Linked DNA regions of Anolis sagrei. The protein of the gene in region 1 purifies or fractionates together with the protein of each later gene. This does not show direct contact. Links are inferred from orthologs where the notes say so. Each region holds a gene or a part of one and is shown on either strand. Other genes may lie near its edges.

Region 1 (12,435 bases):
TAACCATTCAAGGTTGGTCCAAGATATCTTGCTGCTTTACCACAGCTAGCAATCAGCTTGCCCTGGCAATTTCTTTAAAATTATCTCTACCAATGAAGACTTCAAGGCAAAAAGTTTAATATATGACTACAAAGAAGAATTGTCAAAGGTTTTTATGGCTGGAATCACTGGCTTGCTGTGAGTTTTCTGGTATTGCCATGTTCCAAAAGTATTCTCCCCTGACATTTCGCCCACATCTTTAGCCGGCATCCTCAGAGCTTGTAAGGTCTGTTGGAAACTAGGCAAGATAGATAGATAGATAGACAGACAGACAGACAGATATATGGAATGTCCAAGGTGGAAGAAAGATCCCTTGTCTGTGTGAGACAGGTGTGAATGTTGCAAATGGTCACCTAGATTAGCATTCAATGGCCTTGCAGCTTCAATGCCTGGCGCGTTGCTGCCTGGGAGAATCCTTTGTTGGGAGAGTTTAGCTGGCCCTGAATTTTCCTTTCTGGAATGCCCCTGTTGTTTTGAGTGTTGCTCTTTATTTACTGTCCTGATTTTAGGATTTTTTTATAATACTGGTAGCCAGATTTTGTTCATTTTCATGGTTTCCTCCTTTCTGTTGGAATTGCCCACATGCTTGTGGATTTGAATGGCTTCTCTGTGTAGTCTGACATGGTGGTTGTTGGAGTGGTCCAGCATTTCTGTGTTCTCAAATAATATGCTGTGTCCAGGTTGGTTCATCAGGTGCTCTGCTATGGCTGACTTCTCTAGTTGAGTTAGTCTGCAGTGCCTTTCATGTTCCTTGATTTGTGTCTGGGCAATGCTGCGTTTGGTGGTCCACCAAACCACCAAATGCAGAACTTTTCAAATATTTCATGTTAGTGACACACCTTTTAGACATGCCTCATTTGGCGACACAGTAATTCAGGTTTACGGGCAAACTAGAGGTTAACCAACCCCTTATAAGAAATACGGACACGTACATAAATAGTCATAACGAAACATAAGAGGACACCATATCTGATGCAAACCTTTGATTTATATAAGCTTTTAAAATAATATATGATTTGTAAGATAATAATATACATTTCCAAAATTTTTGTTATAGTCTCCTTATGTTCACATAACACACCTACACACTGAAGCTGAACACATAGTTTGGAAAACTACCGTATTTTAAATCATATATGGTCTTTTCTAAGTATTTCCTAAGAAGTTCCAAATATACCTATCTGAGGAAAGGCCTATCAAGCACACAAGGGCATATCTGTAGCCTTTCAAATCTATGGAATCTCTCTATGAAACCTATGGAAATCTATCCTTGGGCTAGACTCACTCAGAGGAAAATAATGGCCATTTTCCCTTGAACTAATCTTGCCAAATAGACTCCATGACTGGTTCACCTCAAGGCCACTATAAGTTGGAAATAATTTGAATGCAGACAACAGAAATAGCTGAACTGTACTATAAGGCTTCAACCTCATACGCACATACATTGGCTTTAAAACTACTAAGGTCTGAGTAGAGATGTGGAGAAGTACAGTCAAAAAGACTAAACATAGTAGAAGAGCCCCAAGTTCAAAACTGTGGTATATAAACAACACATGGCACTGATATAAAAGCCTTTAATGGATCTCACCTTCTTTTACCTCTTGGATAATTTCTTCAGGGAGAATGAAGTTTTTTTCTGAGTTGGGAAAGGGAAGAATCTCAGACTCATGCTTGGAAACAACATAAATACTAGTGTTATTGAAATAGTTATAATGACAATTGAATATTTATGAAAAAGTATGTAAAGTCAGTATCTTCACAAATAAAATTTTACCACCCAAATGCAAAATATTTCCAAGTATTTTAAAACAAAGAAAACTGACAATAAATGAGAGATACTCTTTAAATATGAAAGCTTTAAAATGAAGTATTTTAACTGTGTTTAAGTGATTTAAACCAATGTTTAATTGTGTTTTAATACTTATACGCTGGAGATATTAAGTTACTGTTTTTCAGTTGTTTTCAGCTGCTTTGCATGTCAATCATAGAGATAAAAGTAAATACAAACAACAAACAACACTGGAATAGCCTGTTTCTTGTGGGGAAACACTCACCAGTGCTTGCATGTCATACATGGTACTCAAGTGGTCCCAGATAACTTTGGAAGAAATCTGCCTCCCAATATTTTGACTGAACTTATCTCGGATACAGATCATGTGAAAATGGCGATTCACACCTAATGGGTAAAGAGGAACAAAGAAAGGCATCTTTTGCTGAAGTTCACTTTACCATCATATAGGAGGCAATACAAGCAAATATCCGAATTGAATAAATAAAACATGTGTCTGATTATGACCAATGATACTGAGGTTTTGTGAGTGAACATTTTATAACAAAGAATCATAGCATTTGAAGAGATCCCAAAGGCCATCCAGTCCAATCCCATCGTGCCAGGCAGGGATATACAATCAAAGCCTCCTTGACAGATGGCCACCCAGCTTCTACTTAAAAAGCTCCAGTGAAGAAGACTCCAGCAGCAGCATATTCCGCTGCCGAACAGCTCTTACCATCAGAAAGTTCTTCTTAATGTGTAGGTGAGCTCTCTCTTCCCGCAGTTTGAATCCATTGCTCTACGGCAGGCATGGACAAACTTTTGGACCTCCAGGAGTTTTGAACTTCAACTCCCACAATTCCTAACAGCCTACCAGCTGTTAGGAATTGTGAGAGTTGAAGTCCTGCTCTATGTCCTAGTCTTCAGAACCGCAGAAAACAAGCTTGCCTCCTCATCAATGAGACATCCTTTCAAATATTTAAACAGGGATATCATGTTCCTTTCTCCCAGACTTCTTTTCTCCAAGCTAAGCACTCCAAGCCTTTCCTCACAAGGCTTGGCTTCCAGACTTTTTTGCCATCAAGGCTGTCCTTCTCTGGACACATTCCAGCTTGTCCATATTCTTCTTGGAGTGCTTTGCACAGAACTGGACAGAGTCTTATTCCAGTCTTATTATCTGCTTTGAACTGGATTATGTAAATCGACACTGCCATATAATCAAAGCAGATAATCTGGATTTTATATGGCAGTGTAGAAGGGGCCTTAAGCCCCTTCCAGACAGTTGAATAAAATCCCACATTATCTGCTTTGAAATGGAATATATGGCAGTGTGGACTCAGTTAACCCAGTCCAAAGCAGGTATTTTTGGATTTTCTGCCTTGACATTCTGTGATATAGGGATGATCCCATAGCACTTTGTCCTCCAAAGCGCTTTACATTTAACCACTTTACTTCAACCAGAGAAGTCAGCCATAGCAGAGCACCTGATGAACCAGCCTGGACACAGCATATTATTTGAGAACACAGAAATGCTGGACCACACCAACAACCACCATCTCAGACTACACAGAGAAGCCACTGAAATCCACAAGCATGTGGACAATTTCAGCAGAAAGGAAGAGACCATGAAAATGAACAAAATCTGGCTACCAGTATTTAAAAAACTCTAAAATTACAACAGCAAAACAGCAGAGAGGAAACAACCAGGCACATCTTAACACCTCTCAACAAAAGATTTTCCCAGGCTCAGCCAGGCCTTCAAATGCTAATGAAGTTGGTCAGTTGAAACATTCACACCTAGCTCCAGCAGGGAAGAGCTCTTTGCCCCACCCCAGCCATTCCACAGATATATTGTCCTAATTGTCCTAATTCCAACAGACCTCACTACCTCTGAGGATGCTTGCCATAGATGCAGGCGAAACATCAGGAGAAATGCTTCTAGAACATGGCCCTATAGCCCGAAAAAACCCACAAGAACCTAGTGATTCCAGCCATGAAAGCCTTCGACAATACACTTTACATTTCTTTAAGTCTGCTCATATGCCCTTCCACAAACACCAGTATCACCTTGCGTTCATGTCCCAGCATTATTTCCAATTTTAACTCTACATTTGGCCTTCCCACTGTTTTTAATTATGTGTTGTTTTATTGATAATGTTGTGTAATTTATTGTCTTTGGTTTTTTTTAATTACTTGCTTAAGTGGCTGAGGGGGGGAAAGGAAAGGGCCTGAGGCTGTTAGGAATTGTGGGAGTTGAAGTCCAAAACACCTGGAGGTCCCAATTTGCCTAGGCCTGTTATAATAATAATAGTTATTATTATTATTATTAAACTTTATTTGTACCCCGCTAGCATCTCCCAAAGGATTCGATGCGGCTTACACAGGCCGAGGCCTCAACACACAACACAACAATACAATCTAAGCAAATCAAACAATTAAAAACAGAATAAAGCAAAATAAACAACAGGCACAATACACTAAACACAATAAAACTGGGCCGGGCCAGAGTAATGGGTACAAGATCAAAAGTGTATATAGGGCTTCTAGGGCAAGTGCGATGTGCGGTGTGCAGCAATCATTGGTTCTGATAAAGTGCTTATGGGACTTGGTAGTGGAGATTTCCTAATCTGGGAAGGCGCATCGGAAAAGCCAGGTCTTCAAGTTCTTTCTGAAGGCAGCCAATGTAGGGGCCTGTCTAAGGTCTTTGGGGAGGGTGTTCCAGAGTCGGGGGGCCACCACGGAAAAGGCCCTGTCTCGTGTCCCCACCAAGCGCGCTTGCGACGCAGGCGGGATCACGAGCAGGGCCTCTCCAGATGACCGAAGTGAACGTGTGGGTTCGTAGATGGAGATGCGGTCACGCAGGTAGGCTGGTCCCAAACCGTTCAGGGCTTTGTAGGTAAGCAACTGCACCTTGAATTGGGCTCGGAAAATAAATGGCAGCCAGTGGAGCTCCTTGAACAGGAGGGTTGACCTCTCTCTGTAAGGAGCCCCAGTTAACATCCTGGCTGCTGCTCGTTGGACCAGTCTTCAAGGGCAGCCCTACGTAGAGCGCATTGCAGTAGTCCAATCTGGAGGTGACCAAGGCATGGACCACTCCGGCCAGATCCGTCTTCGCGAGGTACGGTCGCAGTTGGCGCACGAGTCTCAGTTGTGCGAAAGCCCTCCCAGACACCGCCGACGCCTGAGCCTCAAGTGTGAGCGTTGAATCCAAGAGGACCCCCAAACTGCGGACCTGTGGCTTCAGGGGGAGTGTAAGTTATGTGTAAACATTACAATAGGCCCATGATTGAATGCATTTTGTCATGGCTGAATGCTATGGAATCATGGGAGTTGTAGTTCCACCAGGCCTTCACCCCTCTCTGCCAAAGTACAAATCCCAAGACAGGGTCAAACTGTATTCATTCATTCGAATGGGCCTTCCAGGGGTTTGGGACTTCAGTTCCCAGAATGCCTGCTGATTGGCCAAAGCGGCAGAGGCTTCTGGGAGTTGAAGTCCGAAGAGAAAGAGGCAGGCACAGACGGAGTTCCCTCCCACCCTCTCCCCAGCCGGCCCCGCCTCCTCCTCGGGCAGTGGAGCTACTCGAGCCCGAGGCTTCATCTGCGGCCTGGTCCTTTCTCGCTCTGTTTTCTCGCTCTGTTTCTCACCGACGGGCTTGTGTCCCAGCATGGCGTGGAAGAGGCAGACCTCCACCTCGGGGCTCCAGACCACGGGCGGCGCGGGGAGAGGCGGCAGAGGCGGGGGGAGCGCAGTCGCCATGGAAGAGGACGAGGAGGAGGTCGTCAAGGCCGTGGTGGACGCCGCGGCTTCCTCCTCCGTCGCAGTCCCCACGGCGGGGCAAGGCGGCTTCCCCTCCGCCGCAGTCCCGGCCGAGCTCTCGGCTTCGCCCATGGCCTGCTCCGCTAACACAGGCCGAGGATGCGCGCTCGCGTCTAGGCCGCACAGCAGCGCCCTTAGCGAACAGCGCCCCCTCGAGGCCGAGTCGTGTATTACACTTCAGAAGGAACGCAGATTCCCATCACTGAGTCATCACAATAATAATCCATGTTCAACATTTACACAAATGACCAGCCACTGCCAGAAGGGACATAGAGTTTCATCTATGCTGATGATCGTGCCATTACCACTCAAGCAGGGAGCTTTGAGATGGTACAATAGAAGCTCTCCGAAGCTCTAGGTGCTCCTACTGCCTACTACAGGGAAAACCAACTGATCCCTAATCCATCTAAAACACAGACATGTGCCTTTCACCTTAAGAACAGACAAGCATCCCGAGCTCTGAGGATTACCAGGGAAGGAATCCCACTGGAGCATTGCAGCGCACCCAAATACCTGGGAGTCACTTTGGACCGTGCTCTGACCTACAAGAAGCACTGCCTGAACATCAAACAAAAAGTGGGCGGTAGAAACAACATCATACGAAAGCTGACTGGCACAACCTGGGGATCACAACCAGACATAGTGAAGACATCTGCCCTTGCGCTATGCTACTCTGCTGCTGAGTCTGCATGCCCAGTGTGGAACACATCTCACCACACTAAAACAGTAGATGTGGCTCTTAATGAGACATGCCGCATTATCACAGGGTGTGTGCGCCCCACACCACTAGAGAAATTACACTGCTTAATCGGTATTGCACCACCTGACATCTGCCGGGAAGTAGCAGCCAATAGTGAAAGGACCAAGGCAGAGACATCTCCAGCTCATCCCCTGTTTGAGTATCAGCCAGCACGTCAACGACTTAAATCAAGACATAGTTTTCTTAGATCTACAGAGACACTCGCTGGAACACCCCAGCAAGCGAGAGTCCAAAAGTGGCAGGCTCAAACCCAGCACCTCAATCCGTGGGTGATACCAGATGAGAGACTCCCCTCTGGGCACACAGAAGGCTGGGCGACTTGGAAGGCGCTGAACAGACTGCGCTCTGGCACCACGAGATGCAGAGCCAAACTTAAGAAAAGGGGGTACAAAGTGGAATCCACGACATGCGAGTGCAGAGAAGAGCAAACCACAGACCACCTGCTGCAATGCAACCTGAGCCCTGCCACATGCACGATGGAGGACCTTCTTGCGGCAACACCAGAGGCACTCCAAGTGGCCAGATACTGGTCAAAGGACATTTAATCAGCTACCAAGTTTGCAAAATTTGTGTTGTTTTTTTATCTGTTTGTTTGTTTTGTTCTGTTAGAAATGTAATACAATGTTCTGGTTGTGGATGACACGATAAATAAATATATCTCCTGCAGTGAGGGCATTGGTTCATAAGTGGAAGGCGGCAGTGAGGGCATTGGTTCATAAGTGGAAGGCGGCCCCAGTCGGGGTTGGCTTGACACACCTTCCTCTTGTCACGTTTCTCTCTTTTGCCCTCCATTCGTGCCTCTTCAAATTCTGCAGCACTGCTTGTCACAGTTGACCTCCAGCTGTGAAATAGCTATAAACCACACACAATAAATTTGTTTACAGATTTAGACACAAACTAAGCTGTAGTTTGGAGCATCGAACTATAAGGCAGGCATGGACAAACTTTCTAACTTGGGGACCATATGCTATCATTCCCTGCTAGGAGGACTGGCTGCCCGGTGATGGAAGAAAGAAAGGGAAAGAGGAAGGAAAGAGAGAAGGAAGAAAAGATGAAAGGGCGGAAGGGAAGGATGGAAGGAGAAAGAGGAAGAGAGGGAAGGAGAGAGTAAAGAGGAAAGGAAGGAAAGACAAAAGGGAAGGAAGGATAAAAGGATGGAAGGAAGGGAAGGAGGAAGGAAAAAGAGAGGGAAGGAATGACAAAACGGAAGGAAGGAAGGACGAAAGGGTGGGAGGGAAGGATGTAAAGAAAAAGGGAGGGAGGGAAGGACGAAAGGATGGAAAGGATGGAAAGGGAAGGAGAATGGGAGGGAAGGAAGAAAGGAAGGGAAGGAGGAAGGAAAGAGAAAAGGAAGAAAACACAAAAGGGAGCGAAGGAAGGAAAAAGGGAGAGAAGGTAGGAAGGAAGGACAAAAGGAAGGGAGGGAAGGAGAGATTGAGAAAGAAAGAAGGAAGGAGGAAGAAAAGAGGAAGAAAGGATGAAAAGGTGGAAGGGAAGGGGAAAGAGGGAGGGAAGGAGGAAGGAAAGAGAGAAGAAAGGAAGGATAGGATGGTGAGAAACAGGAGGGCCTGAGAAAAGAGCCCAAAGGGCCTGGGTTTACCCCTACGTTCTATAAGGGCTTCTAAACACACTCCCAATTAAAACTTTGCATAATTGGTAGAAGAAGATACCCGTTGAGTCTCGTAAAAGTGGCATAGCTTAGGGTCAGATTAAGACATGTCAAATAAAGTCCTTTGTTTCTTTTTACAAGGCTTACACAGAAATAAAGTCCTTTGTTGCTTGCTTCAACAAAGATGAGGCAAAGTCTGTGTTGCTTGGGAGATGAGACTACCGTGGTTTGTTATTAAATTGAATTTTTAATCTGCCGGCTGACATTAAGCAGCACAAATCACTCTGGTATCATAGATACACTTTGAGGCGGTATTCAACAACACCAGCAGAAATTCCAAATGATGAAGTTTCTCGTACTTCACAAATGACCTTTTTAAGGAACCAAAGAGGGAAAGAAAGTTGTTGACACATTCAGACACCCAGCCGCAATGAAGAGTACTGGCACTTACCTTGCAGTGTACCTATAATGATGACAGGTTCTTTCAAACACTTAAAGCAAGTTAATGGGTTCACGAGTAAGTTCAGCTAAACATCACCAATGGAAAAACCACAGAGCATTAAACTTAGGACCTCTCTGAACAAAGATCTAAAAATGGATTCTGTGTTGCAAACCCATTTTGCTTTGAACTGGGGAAGACCAGGATAACAAACTGATCTTATGGCACAAATCTATGTGCAAGCACTTGAAGAAACCTTTGAGTTTTCTTTTACAGACAAATACAAGAAGAAGAGGAAGAAGGAGAACAACAACAACACTTGCCACAGTTGCTGGAATTTTTCTCCTCTCAATCCTTCTCTTTGTCCCCCTTTTAAATGTATTTTTCTGGAAGAATAGCACAACTATGAGACTTCAACAACTTGCTATACCAAGTTTTTCACATTACCACATTTTTCCAGTTCTAAGATGCCGTCAAATATAAGACACACACTAAAGTTTATACCAACTACAAATACGCAATACAAGTTGTGTATTCTGTAAGGAGCAGAATACACAATAGAAGTTGTGTATTCTGTAAGGGAAAGATGTACTTTTGATTGGCAAACTAAGCCCAAAGTACCATGGATGCAAGAGGTGGATGTTTTGCAAGACAGACTTGCAAACAGAAAGGAAATGATTAACAATAACAACAATAACATACATTTTGTAATTACAAGCCCAGATTTGTGTATTCTGCCAGTAGGAGGTGCAGTAAGAATCAAAGAATTATAGAATCATAGAATTGGAAGAGATCTCGTGAGCTGTCCAGTCCAGCCCCCTGCCAAGAAGCAGGAAAATCATATTCAGAATCATACTTTTGATTGGCAAAGCTTGCCTAGACCTAAAGGGACATACATGTGCTGCATCTTTTGCAAAAAGGACTAGTAAAAGGCTGGAACTTTTGCAAAAATGATTAAAAAAAAACAACTTGAAAACAGTAAGGAAATACTTAAGATGAGAAATCTCAGTGCTTTACCTTTGGAACTGTGCAGTTTCTTCTTCGTCTTCTTCTTTCTCTTCCTTCTTCTTCCTCTTCCTTCTTCCTTCCTCTTCCTTTTCCTTCCTCTTCCTCCCTCTTCCTCTTCCTCCTCCTTACTCTTCCTCTTCCTTCCTCTTCCTCTTCCTTACTCTTCCTCTTCCTTCCTCCCTCCTTCCTTACTCTTCCTCTTCCTTACTCTCCCTTCTTCTTCCTCCTTCCTCCTCCTCCTTCCTCCTCCACCTTCCTCCTCCACCTTCTTCCTCCTTCTCCTTCCTCCTCCTCCTTCCTCCTCCTCCTTCTTCCTCCTCCTTCCTCCTTTCTTCTTCCTCCTTTCTTCTTCTTCCTTTCTTTTTCTTCCTTTCTTCTTCTTCTTCTCTTTATTTATACCCCGCATTTCTCCCTGTGGTGACTCAAAGTGACTAACTATCCCACACTAGACAAGCTTAAAAAGTGCAATAAAATTTAAAAACAATTAAATAGGAACAGTGTGGTTAAAAAAATAGAATTAAAATACAATAAATACACTTAAAATGGCCTTTAAAACTCATAGGTCCTCCAATAGCTCCTTGGATGATAAGAAGAAGAAGGAGGAGGAGGAGGAGGAGGAAGGGAACAGGGTGAAAGAGGGAAGTTATGTCTGCCGATAGAGGTCCCCTAGTGCTGCTCACAAACAGTAAGCAGTTCGGCCATGGAATAGTCAAGCAGTTCAAAGTGATGCCTACCAACACACCCATAATCACATGTCATTGTCTCCAAACCCACTGCAGAAGCACTTTTAAATTATCGCACCACCTGAAAACAGTTTGAACACCAATTCAAAGCACTTTCAGGTGCCTGTAAAGAGAGGGAGTTTGAACCTAGCTAGCTAGCATCAAACAGCATTAAATGATCAGTGTAGAATTGATGAGGCCCCAACTGAACACCAGTTTGAAATGAGTAGAATGATGTTGTGTGATGACAAGCCTTTCCATTCATGGTTAGGGAGCCTGAAACACAAACTGCAAGCTTAGTGTGATAACCTAAATATGCTTTTTGGTTGTACTGGTCCATTTAGTTTTCTTGGCAAGAATACTGGGGTGGGTTGCCATTACCTTTCCCAGGGATCGCGTTTGGTCTGACCTCTCTGCCATGACTGTCCTGTCTTGGGTGTCCCTTCATGGTTCCGCTAATGGCATCATTGATGAGAAGACAGGAAAGCTTAGAGAAGACAATGATGCTGGGGAAAATGGAAGGAAAAAGGAAGAGGGGCCGACCAAGGGCAAGAAGGATGGAGGGTATCCTTGAAGTGATTGGCTTGACCTTGAAGGAGCTGGGGGTGGTGATGGCCGACAGGGAGCTCTGGCCTGGGCTGGTCGATGAGATCACAAAGAGTTGGAAGCGACTGAACAAATAAACAACAAGATGCTCTTTGGCTTTAAATTTGCAATGACTCCTAATTATGGCTGAGAACATAAAATGGAAGGGATGTATTTTCAAGCCTTTGTGCTTTTTGCAAAAGCCCCAGCTGTTTGCAAGTTCTTTTTGGAAAAGATTTAGTACAACTTATAGGGATTCCAACGTATATGAGAACTTATATGTTGGAAGCCCTATAATCATAATGTAACAGTACATTATATGCAATGCAAAATCTTATTATTCGGATTTCTATCTTGACCACTCCCAATGTTACAGTCTGATTTTATGTAGATTGCACCCATCCTAAGTAATGCTATTTTATTCAACATTTATATCAACATTTATCTCCCATCTTCCCCACCATTATAATACAATCTTTCTCAGGAGTGCCTTTAAATTACTGCGAAATGATGCCTAACAAATAGGAATCAATCTATTTTTATGATATTAAAATGCAAACTGTCTTCACGTACAAGCTGCAAAAGGAATACGCAAATCTCATGACAAATAAATAAAGATCATTCAGTGAATTCCTTAACAGAATTTCTCAGTTTTCATAATGGTAAGACCTGTTCTTATTTGATAAAACAAAATAGATGCAAATAAAACAAAATAGATGCAAATAAAACAGCTCAAAATGTAAAACAATTATCAGTCGTTGCATTATTTTAGACTACAAATTATCTAACAAATGAAAGTAAAACAAAACAATGGATGAAATCATGAGACCCCAAAAACACATTTTAACTTTACATCCTTTGTTTCATGCCCCTGTTTTGCCCCCAACTTATCCATGAGATCGACTTATATTCAACTATATATGGTAAGTAGGCAAAATATCAGATATCCATGACTCAGTCTCATGTTAGTTTTAGCAAATTCCAATGGGGATGAGGATGCATGTGAGTGGGAGGAATTAATTACCTCCCTGGAATGTATTTATATAAATCATTATTTGAATGATTGCTTACATAGATAATAAAGGCATTAATTAAAAAATACCCAACTGCAGATATAATGTTGCAAGTGAACACAAAATTAAAAGAGCATCCTTGGGTGGGAGGGGGGATATACCAGTTTGCCTCATAGATTAAGACATATTTTGGTAACCATGGTTTGCATGTGACAAGATTATGCAGGACCATGGAATATAAGGTTAGATTTACACTTCCATATAATGCAGTAAATCCATCAATTACATGTGTGAAATTGCACATGTGAAAAAATCTTGGAGTCCTCGTGGACAAGTTAAACATGAGCCAAAAATGTGGTATGGCAGCTAAAGAAGCCAATGGGATTTTGGCATGCATAAATAGGAGACTAGGGTCTAGAGACCCAGGTAAGTCATGCTACCCTTCTATTCTGCCTTGGACAGACCACACCTGGAATCACACTGTGTCCACTTCTGGGCACCACAGTTGAAGGGAGATGTTGACAAGCTGGAATGTGTCCAGAGAAGGGCAACTAAAATGGTCTGGAGAAGAAGCCCTGTGAGGAGCGGCTTAAAGAGCCTCCAGAAAAGAAGGCTGAGAGGAGACATGATGAGGGTTATGGATAAAGATGTTAGGGGAAGTCATAAGGAGGA
Region 2 (12,511 bases), on another chromosome or scaffold:
CTTGCTCCACTTGCCTGGTGCTGTCATTTTCTTTCCCCCATTTCTGGAATGAACAAAATAGCTATTCTTAGCAGAATACCTTGTTGGAACTATAACTCACAGTTGGAATATTTGGAAAGCTGTAGTCCGAAAAAAAAGATAAATGTTCATAACACAGGTCCTTGGTTAGAACTTAGCAGACTTTTGCGGGCAATAACATCCAACAACTCTCAAGCAGGGCCATTGCTTAAGCCCAATAATTTCTGGTCCTGATGTGATAATTCAGAATAAATTATCTTCAAATTTGGTAGCCCATTATAACCTAAATGTCCTGCTCAGATAGGATATGTTTGCCTGATTCTTATAATTCCTTTAATAGTGATAGTTGATTAAATATTGCCTGTGAAGATGCCCCATAGCAATTATACCAGTGAACAAACTTCTAAAAATTACAAAAATTGCACTAAACATTTAGCATGTTTTAAAAAACATGTGTGCAAAAAACAGGTATGATAGCTAAGTAATATATATGGATATATGTTAGATATACTTGGAGATAAGAAACAAGCTGTGTCCTCAATGTATTGTGATCTGCTGGAGGCTCTCCTTGAAAAATACCCAAAGGTTTTAGATGCCCCACAGAATACAGCTGTTGTCCTCTTTCACTTGACGTCAAAAGCTCAGGTCTTGAAGCTTGACCCCGGATGCTTCTGGAGGCAACTGGAGACTCTGATCATTATCTTCCCAAGCCATGAATGGCATTTTCCTCTGTGTTTTTGTTGTTCTAATTTAATTTGCTGTGAGCATTACTCGAGGGTGGATTTGTTTGTGCTGCTTTTGGTTGCTAATTTGGGTTGTTTTCAGCTCTGGGTGTGTATCTTTGGTGGCACTTGACAGTCTTGCAGCAATATATTGTGTGACTTATTGTGGACTTAACAGTTATGAATGCTTTGAGGTGTTATTTTCATGACTTATCCAGGGCTGTTTCACTAAGAGTCTATGTTACATGCCCATGAGGCTGTGACAATGAAACAAATACGTCAATCAAGAATGTCTCGTGTTTGAATAACAAGGGATTTGTGGCACATTAAAGATGAACCAGAAAAGTGGATGGTCATCCACTTCATCTGATGTGTTTACTGGGAAACAAAATTTAAAAGACAGAATTTTTTAAATGGACGATACATTTTAATCAATATTTTAAATCTTTTAAAAAAAAACCAATTTAAACCCTTTTCGCTGTTGGGGTTTGTCTGGCAAGTGTGTAAGTATGTTCAAAATGTTGAAATTGGGAGGATAAATTAGTAGATTTTCAGCTGTGATGCTAAAGTGGAAATTTGCTGCTGTTACTGTTTGGGTTCCCAATCTCCTGTTCTCTTGGGAAAGGTACAGCTAAGGAAAAATCAAGTTGAGCTACCAGAAGTTAAGGGTGAGATCCCCACCAACCTGGCACTCAGTAACTCCATTGCAAGCTCTCCAGGCAGTTTGTGGGGTGCATCTACACTGCAGAACAGGCATGGACAGACTTTCTAACTTGGGGGCCGCGTACTAGCACTTCCTTCTAGGGGGACTGGCTTCCGGGTGACAGAAAGAAGGAAGGGAAGGAGAAAGGACAGAGAGAAGGAAGGAAAGACAAAAGGAAGGAAGGGAAGAATGGAAGGAGAAAGAAGGAGAGAAGGAAGGAGGGGGGAAAGAGGGAAGAAAAGACAAAAGGGAAGGATAGAAGGAATGATGAAAGGGTGGAAGGGAAGGATGAAAGGAAGCAAGGAAAGGAGGAAAGAGAAAGAGAAGGTAGGAAGAAAGGGAGGAAGAGAAGGATGGATGGATGGAAGGAAGGAATGGAAAGATAAAGGAAAGAGAGAAAGAAGGAAAGACAAAAGGGAAGGAAGGAAGGGAGGGAAGGAGGGGGGAAGGAAGGAAGGAAGGGTCGAAGGGAAGGATGGAAGGAGAAAGAGGGAGGGAAGAGAGGAGGAAGGAAAGAGATAAGGAAAGTCAAAAGGGAGGGAAGGGTGGAAGGGAAAGATTGAAGTAAAGAAGAAAGAAGGAGGAAGGTAAGAGAGCAGGAAGGAAGGATAAAAGATTGGGAGGAAATAGAAGGAAGGAGAAAAAGAGAGGGAAGGAAGAGAGGGAGGATGAAGGAAAGACAAATGGAGGGAAGGAAGGAGTAAGAGGGAAGAAAGGAAGGATGAAAGGGTGGAAGGGAAGGAGAAAGAGGGATGGGGAGGAAGGAAAGAGAAAAGGAAGGCTAGGGTGATGAGAGAGAGGAGGCCTGAGGGAAGAGCTCAAGTGGCTGCATCTGGAACCGCTTCAACTGCTGTGGGAGTAATAGTTTGGTGAGGCATCAGCAGGCTTTGGCATAGAAAGCTGATGACCTTGTAAAACTATGACTCCCAGGATTTATTGCATTCAGCAATGGTAGTTAAAAGTGGTATCAAACTGAATTAATTCTACAGAGTAGATTCATCCTAGGACTCTAGTTCCTCACAGTACTAGTCAGTTTTGTTGGGAACAATTCATCAAAGCCTGAAGAAATTATTATTATTATTATTATTATTATTATTATTATTATTATTATTATTAATTATGGGTTATTTACCTTTTCTCTAACAAATGGGGAGTTAGAACAAACCACATGGAATCTGATCTCAGGTAAAAGAACATGCTGACCAAACCTTTCATTATTACTATTGTCTGAAAACCATTGCTCTTTTTAAAAATCGTGTCAGAAGCAACTTGAGAAACTGCAAGTCGCTTCTGGTGTGAGAGAATTGGCCATCTGCAGAGACGTTGCCCAAGGGACGCCTGGATGTGTTCCCATCCTTGGGAGGATTTTCTCATGTTCCCACATGAGAAGCTGGACCTGACACCCCATCTTGCGGATTCGAACTGTCAATCTTCAGGTCAGCTGGCATAAGGGTTTAATCCATTGCACAACCGCGGCTCCTGATTTCACCATTGCTTTGATTTCACATGGACCAGATTTATGTAAGGTTTACCAGAGTCTTCACTGCTGCCAGGCAGCTGCCTAAGCCCTGTTGTTCTGTTTCATTTGAACATTTTCATCTAAAATAATACATTTCAGCTACCTTTTGCCCTGATTGGAGAGACACCTTGTAGGTAAGCACTATCATTGGCTACCTCCTACAATGCTTCAACAATCAATTTCTTCTCTTTAGCTATATCTTTCTAGTTTCTATCTAGCTTGTAAAATATGCCACCAAAACAACCTCCTAAGTCTTTCAGTTAATTGGCAATTCAGTTATCTTTCTGGCTGTTAACAATAGATTTGTAAGAACTCATTTACAGACAACTAGAGGCAATGAAGGTGTGACTAAGATTCATTGTAATGATAACTTAAGAAGTAATGTGTTGTCCAAGGCTTTCATGGCCAGAATCACTGGGTTGCTGTGAATTTTCCAGGCTGTATGGTTATGTTCCAGAAGCATTCTCTCCCGATGTTTCACCTGCATCTATGGCAGGCATCCTCAGAAGTTGTGAGGTCTGTTGGAAACGAGGTAATTAGGGTTTATATATTCAGGGTGAGAGAAAGAACTCATGTCTGTTTGAGGCAAGTGTTAATGTAACAATTGGACACCTTGATTAGCATTAAATCACCTTTCAGCTTCAAGGCTTGGTTGGTTGCTGCCCGAGGAAATCCTTTATTGAGAGGTGTTAGCTGGCCCTGACTGATTTGTGTCTGGAATTCCTATATTTTCTGAGTGTTGTTCTTTATTTACTGCGCTGATTTTGGAGGTTGTTTTTTTTTAAAAAAAATACTGGCAGCCAGATTTTGTTCATTTTCATGGTTGCCTCCTTTCTGTTGAAATTGTCCACATGCTTGTGGATTTCAATGGCTTCCCTGTGTTGTCTGACATGGTGGTTGTTCAAGTGGCCCAGTATTTCTGTGTTCTCAAATAATATGCTGTGTCCAGGTTGGTTCATCAAATGCTCTGCTACGGCTGATTTATCTGTTTGAGGTAGTCTACAGTGCCTTTCATGTTCCTTGATTCGTGTTTGGGCAATGCTGCAATGTTTGGGCAATGGTCCCTATGTAGACTTGTCCACAACTGCATGGTATATGGTAGACTTCTGCAGAAGTGAGAGGATCCCTCTTGTCCTTTGCTGAATGAAGCATCTGTTGGATTTTTCTTAATGAGTCTGTAGACCGTTTGTAGTTTGTGTTTCTTTATCAGCTCTCCTATGCAGTCAATTGTTCCCTTGTCTGGCAGTAAGCAGCCAGACTTTGAAGCTGAAAGGCTATTCAATGCTAATATAAGGTGGCCAACTGCAACATTCACACTTGTCTCAAGCAGACAAGAGTTCTTTCTCCCACCCTGGACATGCCACAGATATATAAATTCCTAGTTTCCAACAGACTTTTTTCGGGCTGTATGTCCATGTTGTAGTAGCATTCTTTGGCAGGCATCCTCAGAGGTTTCTTCTTGCACTACTTTGTGTGTCTTTCTGTCCAGTGGCCACTATAGAATGAATGCAGTTTGCCACCATCATTTTTAGCTGCCAAGACCCATTGTTCCGGAATCCTGGGAGTTGTAGTTTTACGAGCTCTCTAGCCTTCTCTGCCCGAGAGCGGCAGTGCTTCACCAAACTTCAATTCCCAGGATTCGATAGCATTGAGAGATGGACATTAAAGTGGTATCAAACTGCATTTATTCTACAATGTATATGCACCCTAACTTTTCAGCAAAACACACATTTGCTATCTCTATCTATTTATCTATCTATGTGGATTTAATGTCCATAATAATTGCATGATTTTTAAAAGCTTCTATCTATTATGTGCATTTATTTTTAAATCTGCCTTGGGCTATTTATGTGCACTTTGTCCCAAAGGACATCAGCTTGTAGCATCCAGATGCTTAAAGTAACTGATAATATTTACTTGTTAGAGAGTATTTAAGTGTTGAGAGACATTGCTAGGAGCAAGGGTTTTGGTATTGGAAAAGTGCTTTGGAAAATAATGAAAACCTTCCTATTAATGTGCAGCAAATCTCAGCCTCGGAGGAAGATGGCAAATCTCCATCCAATGAATTTTGTCAAGAAAATCCTGGTAGTTCCTATCAAATATTTCAAGACATAATTTGTGGGAATTTAAGGTGTAGTTAAAATAAAACTACACCTTAAAAGTCTATTAGCAGCTTAGCGGGTTAAACCGCTAAGCTGCAGAACTTGCCGACCGGAAGGTTGGCGTTTGAATCCGCAAGATGGGGTGAGCTCTCATTGCTAGCCCCAGCTTCTGCCAACCTAGCAGTTCAAAAACATGCAAATGTGAGCATAATAAATAGATAGGAAAGTAATGGTGCTTCATGCACTCATGACCTAGGAGGTGTCTATGGACAACGCCGGCTCTTTGGCTTAGAAATGGAGATGAGCACTACCCTCCAGAGTTGGACTCAATTAGACTTAATATTAAGGAGAAACCTTTACCTTTACATAAACTAAAAAAAAGTTTGATTGAAAATGTTTTTTCAATCAAAAGGAGTTACTTATAAATTTTAAAAAAGCTATGACAACTAAATTTGATATTTGAATCAGAAGCATAGCTATTTATTTTGAGAGTAGTTTTCTGAGCTGTCACTAGAGCACATACCACAATACCCACACTTTGCTTTCCCCCCGCATTGTTCTGCATCTCACCCATTTAGTGTCCTCGGTTATCATTCTGATGTTGTCTCCCTTCTTTTTTGTCAAGCAACCTTCATGCAACCTTCATGAAGCTAAACAGACCATACTGTTCGGCTTGGCTGAAAATAGTGCTCCAGCAACCCACGTTTGTCGAGGTTCTCTGTCCATATCAATCCTCAACCCCCATGTCTATTTTCCTTTGATGGCAATGACTGTGGCCAATGGCTTGTTTTAAGATCTATTCACTGTGTATCACGCAATATTACAAAACTGAGATAAAATGTGAAATTTTATCTCACTCTTCCACTTTAAGAAATATCAGAGATAGATAAGTCCTTTCTTAAAATGCTAGGCTCGTGTGCAGATGGCAAATAATTCAACACTTGTTTCAGTATAATTTTATGAGAATAAATGAAAGAGTGTATCTACACTGTAGAATGAATGCAGTTCGGCACCACTTTAATTGCCATGGCTCAATCTATATATATATTAGTCTGAGAGTGTCTCTCATATATATATGTGTGTGTGTGTGTGTGTGTGTGTGTATACATTTACTTTTTTAGTCTCTCTGAGTATCTCTCAATTATGTGTGTGTTTATATATATACTGTATATGTGTGTGTGTTTATATATATACACATATATGACAGTCTAAAAAAGTAATTATATATATATATATATATATATATAATTACTTTTTTAGACTGTCTGTCATATATGTGTGTGTGTATACACTTTTAGCCTCTGAGTGACTCGCAGTTGTGTGTGTGTGTGTATATATATATATAATTTACTTTTTTAGACTGTCTCTCATATGTGTGTGTGTATTTGCTCTTTTAGTCTAAGAGTGTCTCTCAATTATGTGTGTGTATATATATTACTTTTTTAGACTGAGTGTCTCTCATATATGTGTGTGTGTATTTACTCTTTTAGACTCTCAGAGATTGTCTCTTAATTACGTGAGTGTGTATATTTACTTTTTTAGACTGAGTGTCTCATGTATATATATGTATGTGTGTGTGTATTTACATTTTAGTCTGAGAGTGACTCTCATTTATATGTGTGTATATATATATGTATATAAAATTTACTTTTTAGAGTGCCTCATATGTGTGTGTGTATTTACTTTTTAGTCTGACAGTGTCTTTCAATTATGTGTGTGTATATATATATATATTAATTACTTTTTAAGTCTGAGTCTCTCATATATGTGTGTGTGTGTTTATTCTTTTAGTCTGAAAGTGTATCTCATGAGTGTATGTGTGTGTGTGTGTGTGTATATATATATATATATATATATATATATATATATATATACTTTTTAGAGTCTCTCTCATATATATATGTGTGTGTGTGTTTATTTACATACTGGCCATCCCCTGCCACACGTTGCTGTTGCCCAGTCTGTGTATGTGTTTTGTCTGTGTATTTGTGTATATATGTGGTTTTGTGCATGCATTGTATGTTTTTTTTAAGTCTCTTCTGCTGTGTTTTTCAGTGTTTTTATGAGTGGTGGTCACTCATTGGCCTGATAGGTGCCTTGTGTCCAGATTTGTGCCCCCACATTACTACCCATTGCACACACCATATCTATATATGTCTATTTATTTGTGTGTGTGTGTGTGTAGGAGAGACAATTTCAGACTAAAAAAAAGTAAATGTTAATTTGTCTATATAAATAAAAATGTAATGTTCATTTGTGGGATTAACATAACTCAAAAACACATATAGAGCTAAATTAACATTTACTTTTTGAGTCTGAAAGTGTCTTTGGTAAACACACACACACAAATATATATAGATATACAGTGTGCAATGGTTATTAATGGCTTTTCCCTGGGAGCATCCCAGTGTGGTCCATTCCCCTTAATTCCTCCAGCCTCTCTCTCTCTCATTCGCCCAGCCTTCCCTTTCTCTCTCCCCTTCGCGAGGCAAGGCTGCGCGCGCACCCTCCCCCCCCTCCTCCTCCTCTAGTCCCCCCTCCCTCTCTCCTTCTCTTTCTCTTTTTTTTCTTTCCTCCTCCTCCTCCTCCTCCTCCTCGGAGAGCGCCCCCTCCCCTCCCCTCCGCCCGCGCGCGCTCTCTCTCCCTCTCCTTCTCGTTCTGTGTGTGTGTCTCGCGCTCTCGCTCTCGCGTTGGCTGCCGGGATCGCTGGCCGCTTTGGTTAATGTCCGCCATGTTTGCCATGGCGCAGGGAGCGGGTCGAGCGCGGAGCTAGGGCTGCGGGCGGCTCTGGGCGGCGGGGCTCTCCATGGTGTGTCGGGCCGGGTCCGGGAGCGGCTGGGAGGCGGCGGAGGAGGCCGAGGAGGCGGCGGAGGAGGCGGGCGCGGCGCCGCCGTCGTCGTAGCGCAGCCCCCCTCCCTTCCGCGCCCCCCCCTCCCTGCCTGCCTCCGGGTGCTGGTTGTGAGGGAGCGACACCATGAGCAAACTCTCCTTCCGCGCCCGGGCGCTAGACGCCGCCAAACCGCTGCCCATCTACCGCGGCAAGGACATGCCCGACCTCAACGACTGCGTCTCCATCAACCGCGCCGTGCCGCAGATGCCCACCGGCATGGAGAAGGAGGAGGAATCGGTGAGCCAGGGCTGAGGGCCAGGGGCTGGGGTTGGGGCTGGGGGGGGGGGGCTGGAGTGCGCCGCCGCCGCCATTGTTTATCAGGCCTTTCCCCCTCCCTCCCCTCGCGGGGGAAGGAGGCCATTGGCATTCACCAAGCGCCGCTACGCACGCTCCCCGCCGCTGCGGCGCGCGCTCCCTATGGGGTCCTACGCCAGCGGCGCAGCGTAAGCCCCGCTCCGGCACCGTAAGCCGGGCCTGCCTCCGCCATCTTCTTGGCGGAGTGTTTTGATGAGCGGAGGTGGGGAGGGGGGGCCCTCGCGCTACTGCCGTAAGAGGAGAGCAGCGCAGGCAGAGGCCCTGAATAGCAAAGAGAGCGCGCCGGGCGCTGCTGGCGGAGAGCGCGAGGCCTCCAGCCCCGGCTCCTCGCCGAATCTTGATGCAGAAGGCCCTGCCTGCTTCCTTGCTTGCTTGTTGTGTCCATGCTGACGCCGGCTTGTGAAAGTTTAAAAGTAGCCAGGCCTTAGGGAAGTGAGGTGGTTTTTTACGTCCTGTTTCCACAGGATCGGAATGCAACCTCGTTGTATCTATGAGGCAGTGGATGTGTTTGTATACAAATGCACACACACACACACTGGGGCTTTGATGCGTTTCTGTATGATCGTTGAGTCTATTAGGCAGGGAATGTGTTTGTATACAAATGCACACATACACTAGTGCCCCCGTGAATTTGTGGATACTTTTAATGCAACAACGTTGTGTTTACTAGGCGGTGAATATGTTTGTATACACTCACTGGGGCTTTGATGCATTTTATGATTTTCATGCAACATTGTTGTGTCTATTAGGCATTGGATTTGTTTGTATACAAATGCACACACACTGGAGCTTTGATTCATTTATATATGATTTTCATGCAACATTGTTGTGTCTATTAGGCATTGGATATGTTTGTATACACATGCACACACACACTGGAGCTTTGATGCATTTCTGTGTGATCGTTGAGTCTATTAGGCAGGGAATGTGTTTGTATACAAATGCTGGATAGTTTTAATGCAACAACGTTGTGTGTTTACTAGGCGGTAAATATGTTTGTATACACTCACTGGGGCTTTGATGCCTTTTATGATTTTCATGCAACATTGTTGTGTTTACTAGTCAGTGAATGTGCTGTATACAAATGTGCACATACACTGGTGCCCTGGTATATTTGTGTATACTTTTAATGCAACAACATTCTGTTTACTAGGTAGTGAATATATTTATATACAAATGCAGACATGCACTGGTGCTTTGAAGTATTATTTATAATTTTAATGCAGTGTTGTTCTGTCTATTAGGCAGTGGATGTGTTTGTATACAAATTTACACATACTGGTGCCCAGGTGTATTTGTGTATACTTTTAATGCACCAATGTTGTGTTAACTAGGCAGTGGATGTGATTGTATACACATGCACACACACACTGGGGTTTTCATGCATTTCTATGTGATTTTAATGAAATGCCGTTGTGTTTACTAGTCAGTGAATGTGTTTGTTTACAAATGCACACATATACAGGTGCTTTGAAGTGTTTTGTTCTAAGAGTGGTTCTCAACCTGTGGGTCCCCAGGTGTTTTGGCCTACAACTCCCAGAAATCCCAGACAGTTTACCACTGTTGGGATTTCTGGGAGTTGAAGGCCAAAACATCTGGGGACTCACAGGTTGAGAACCACTGTGTTATAATTTTAATGCAACATTGTTGTGTCTATTAGGCAGTAAATATGTTTTTATGCAAATGCACACATATACTGGTGCCCCAATGTATTTGTGTATACCTTTAATGCAACAATGTGTTATTAGGCAGTTGATGTGTTTGTATGCAAATACAGATACTCATTGGTGCTTTGATGTATTTCTGTATAATTTTATGCAACATTGTTGTGTCTGTTAGGCAGTGAATGTGTGTGTATACAAATGTGCCCATACACTGGTGCCCTGGTATATTTGTGTATACTTTTAATGCAACATTGTTGTGTTTACTAGGTAGTGGATATTTTTGTATACAGTTACACACATATACTGGTGCTTTGATGTATTTCTGTATGGGTTTAAAGAAGCAATGTTGCAGCTACTAGGCAGTGAATATGTGTGTATGTATACAAATACATGTACTGTTTCGCTGATGTATTTCTATATGATTTTAATGAAACAACCTGTCTAATAGGCAGTAAATGTATTTGTATACAAATACACATATGTATTGGCACACTGATGGAGTACCTTTCCATTCTCAGGTTATAGGGAACAGGGAGTTTAAACTGTCAGTAGTTTTGCTTGTTTGTGTAAAACACAAATAAAAATGTCCTGTCTCTGTGATTTGTGCTTATACATGTTAGTAAACAATCTTTGCTTATATTGTTTCTTTCTGTAACTGAAACAAAATTGTTTGCACAATCCTGTACATGTGTCTTGCAGATCATTATTTTTACCAGACTTAATCCCAAACATATATGTGTAAGATCAGCAGGATTGTCGAAGTGGAATCAAAAACAGATCTTTGAGTTAGTGTACACTGATAGGTAGGAGGAAGAATTAGGTTTGTATTGTTCTTATTGTTTTTATCGATTTTATCGATTTTATTGGGATAATGGCTTGAATTGTGGGAACTTTGAATTGTTGTACTTTTGTGATGATTGTTGTGTGGCAGGCATCTAAGTGTGCCTTGCTGTTGTAAGCTGCCCTGGGTCCCCTTCGGGGTGAGAAGGGCGGGGTACAAGAACCCCAAATAAATAAATAAATAAATATGTGTGCATAAAATTGCAGCCTGAAAACTAATTGTCAAAGACCACTGGTGCAGTTGGAACTGAACTGAGTCTTGAATAAAGTTATTTCCTCTTGATAATTGAATTCATGCAATGTGCTGAAGGTGTAAACACAATTTTTTCAATTTCTTCTCATTTCAAGTTGTGGAGTTTGCCATGTTATGAATGTTTTGGATTTTATTTTTAAATCCTATGTGTAGAATGTGCTGCAAGTGTGAAGAAGCAATTTTTTGTCAGTTCTCATCTGTGTTTCAGATTTTATTTTTATTTTCTGTTGTTATACCTTTGCAATGTCTCAGTTAAGATACGTTTTCTGTGAAAATATCTGATCTGTAAAATTGTGTTGCTTGGATACATGCTTCAACAATCTCAGTGTTGAAACATGTATGTTTCAGATGTTGACGCTGGCTTACTTCCTACAGACCAGCCCATAATGTGGTTGTGTTTGCATGCAGAATTGCTAGTAAATGTGTCCTCAAGAATTTCTTCAATGAAAAGCTATCTCCGCCTTACTGTGTTTTGATTGGATTCCCTGAGGTTGTGACTGTCAAAAAAAGGCTGCTCATTTTTGTGATTGGCTTTCTCTTTTGGCTGTTAAAATACGCAGGGATCATTGTAGCCTTTGATTTGTAGTTCATGGTTATAGCCTCAATGTTTTCTCCTTGCTCTACTGCATATTCCACACAGCTAATTCTCTTGTATCTTGTTGGGTGGTGAATTAATAAGTGTGTGTTGTAAATATAAACTACAATCAAGGTGTGTTTACAAATCTCTGGCCCTTCTTTCATGTTAGTTTATCTAAAAGAACAGATAGTTCATCCAACATATGAATGCCAATTTATGGAAGATGTAATAATAAAATTGCAAATACTTATTCCTAAAAATATTATTTTAAATATATACTTGTATGTACTATATAAATTAATTGGTAATTTTGCTGAAGCCATCTTCATAAAAAATCCCCAAAATGCTGCTGAATGTAATTTGTTACCGATTGTTTTGAAATTGTAAAGGCCTGATAAATTGCTCATATAAGCATAAATCTCAGTGTCAAATACTTTAAAAATAAGTTCCATTATTTTTAATGGAAACATATTTTGTAGTGAATTGGATTCCAGCCTGATAGTGCAGTCTTAATTGGGGAAGAAATCCACTGAATGGAACAAAATTAAGCAGGTTCAGCAATGCATGTTGAGTAGATTTTTAGTTGTGTGGTAGACATTATTTTGAATTGGATTTTCTTTTTATATGCTTTATATTTTGAGATAAAATTCACAATGAACTTTAAAAATAATTAAAATTTTAATACATTTTATGTGATTACACACTCATTGGTGATTCCTTCAAACGCAACTACTTATTCTCATCCATTATCCTACTCCATACTTGATACCCCCACCCACTAACTTCCAAGAAAACTTGGTCTAGTTATAGGGGTTTTTAGCTACTGGAAGCAGTTGTGAATCTAGTGCTAGCTGCAATATGTCAACTGCTTCCAAGCAGCAGAAAAGATGGGAGGGGGCAGGATGGTA

Evidence for each region.
Region 2: the proteins of MRGBP (region 1) and EPC2 purify together in Homo sapiens (co-immunoprecipitation; 4 studies listed by BioGRID and IntAct, counting the BioPlex papers as one, with this or other methods). This does not show direct contact. The link is inferred for Anolis sagrei from reciprocal best matches to the Homo sapiens genes MRGBP and EPC2.

What each region holds. Positions count from the first base shown.
Region 1 is NC_090024.1:234,246,011-234,258,445, reverse strand, and holds the start of MRGBP (MRG/MORF4L-binding protein), read right to left. Parts: upstream 5,767-12,435; 5' UTR 5,700-5,766; coding exon 5,456-5,699; intron 2,216-5,455; coding exon 2,094-2,215; intron 1,710-2,093; coding exon 1,628-1,709; intron 1-1,627.
Region 2 is NC_090021.1:206,270,496-206,283,006, reverse strand, and holds the start of EPC2 (enhancer of polycomb homolog 2), read left to right. Parts: upstream 1-7,730; 5' UTR 7,731-8,038; coding exon 8,039-8,191; intron 8,192-12,511. UniProt on the Homo sapiens protein: May play a role in transcription or DNA repair.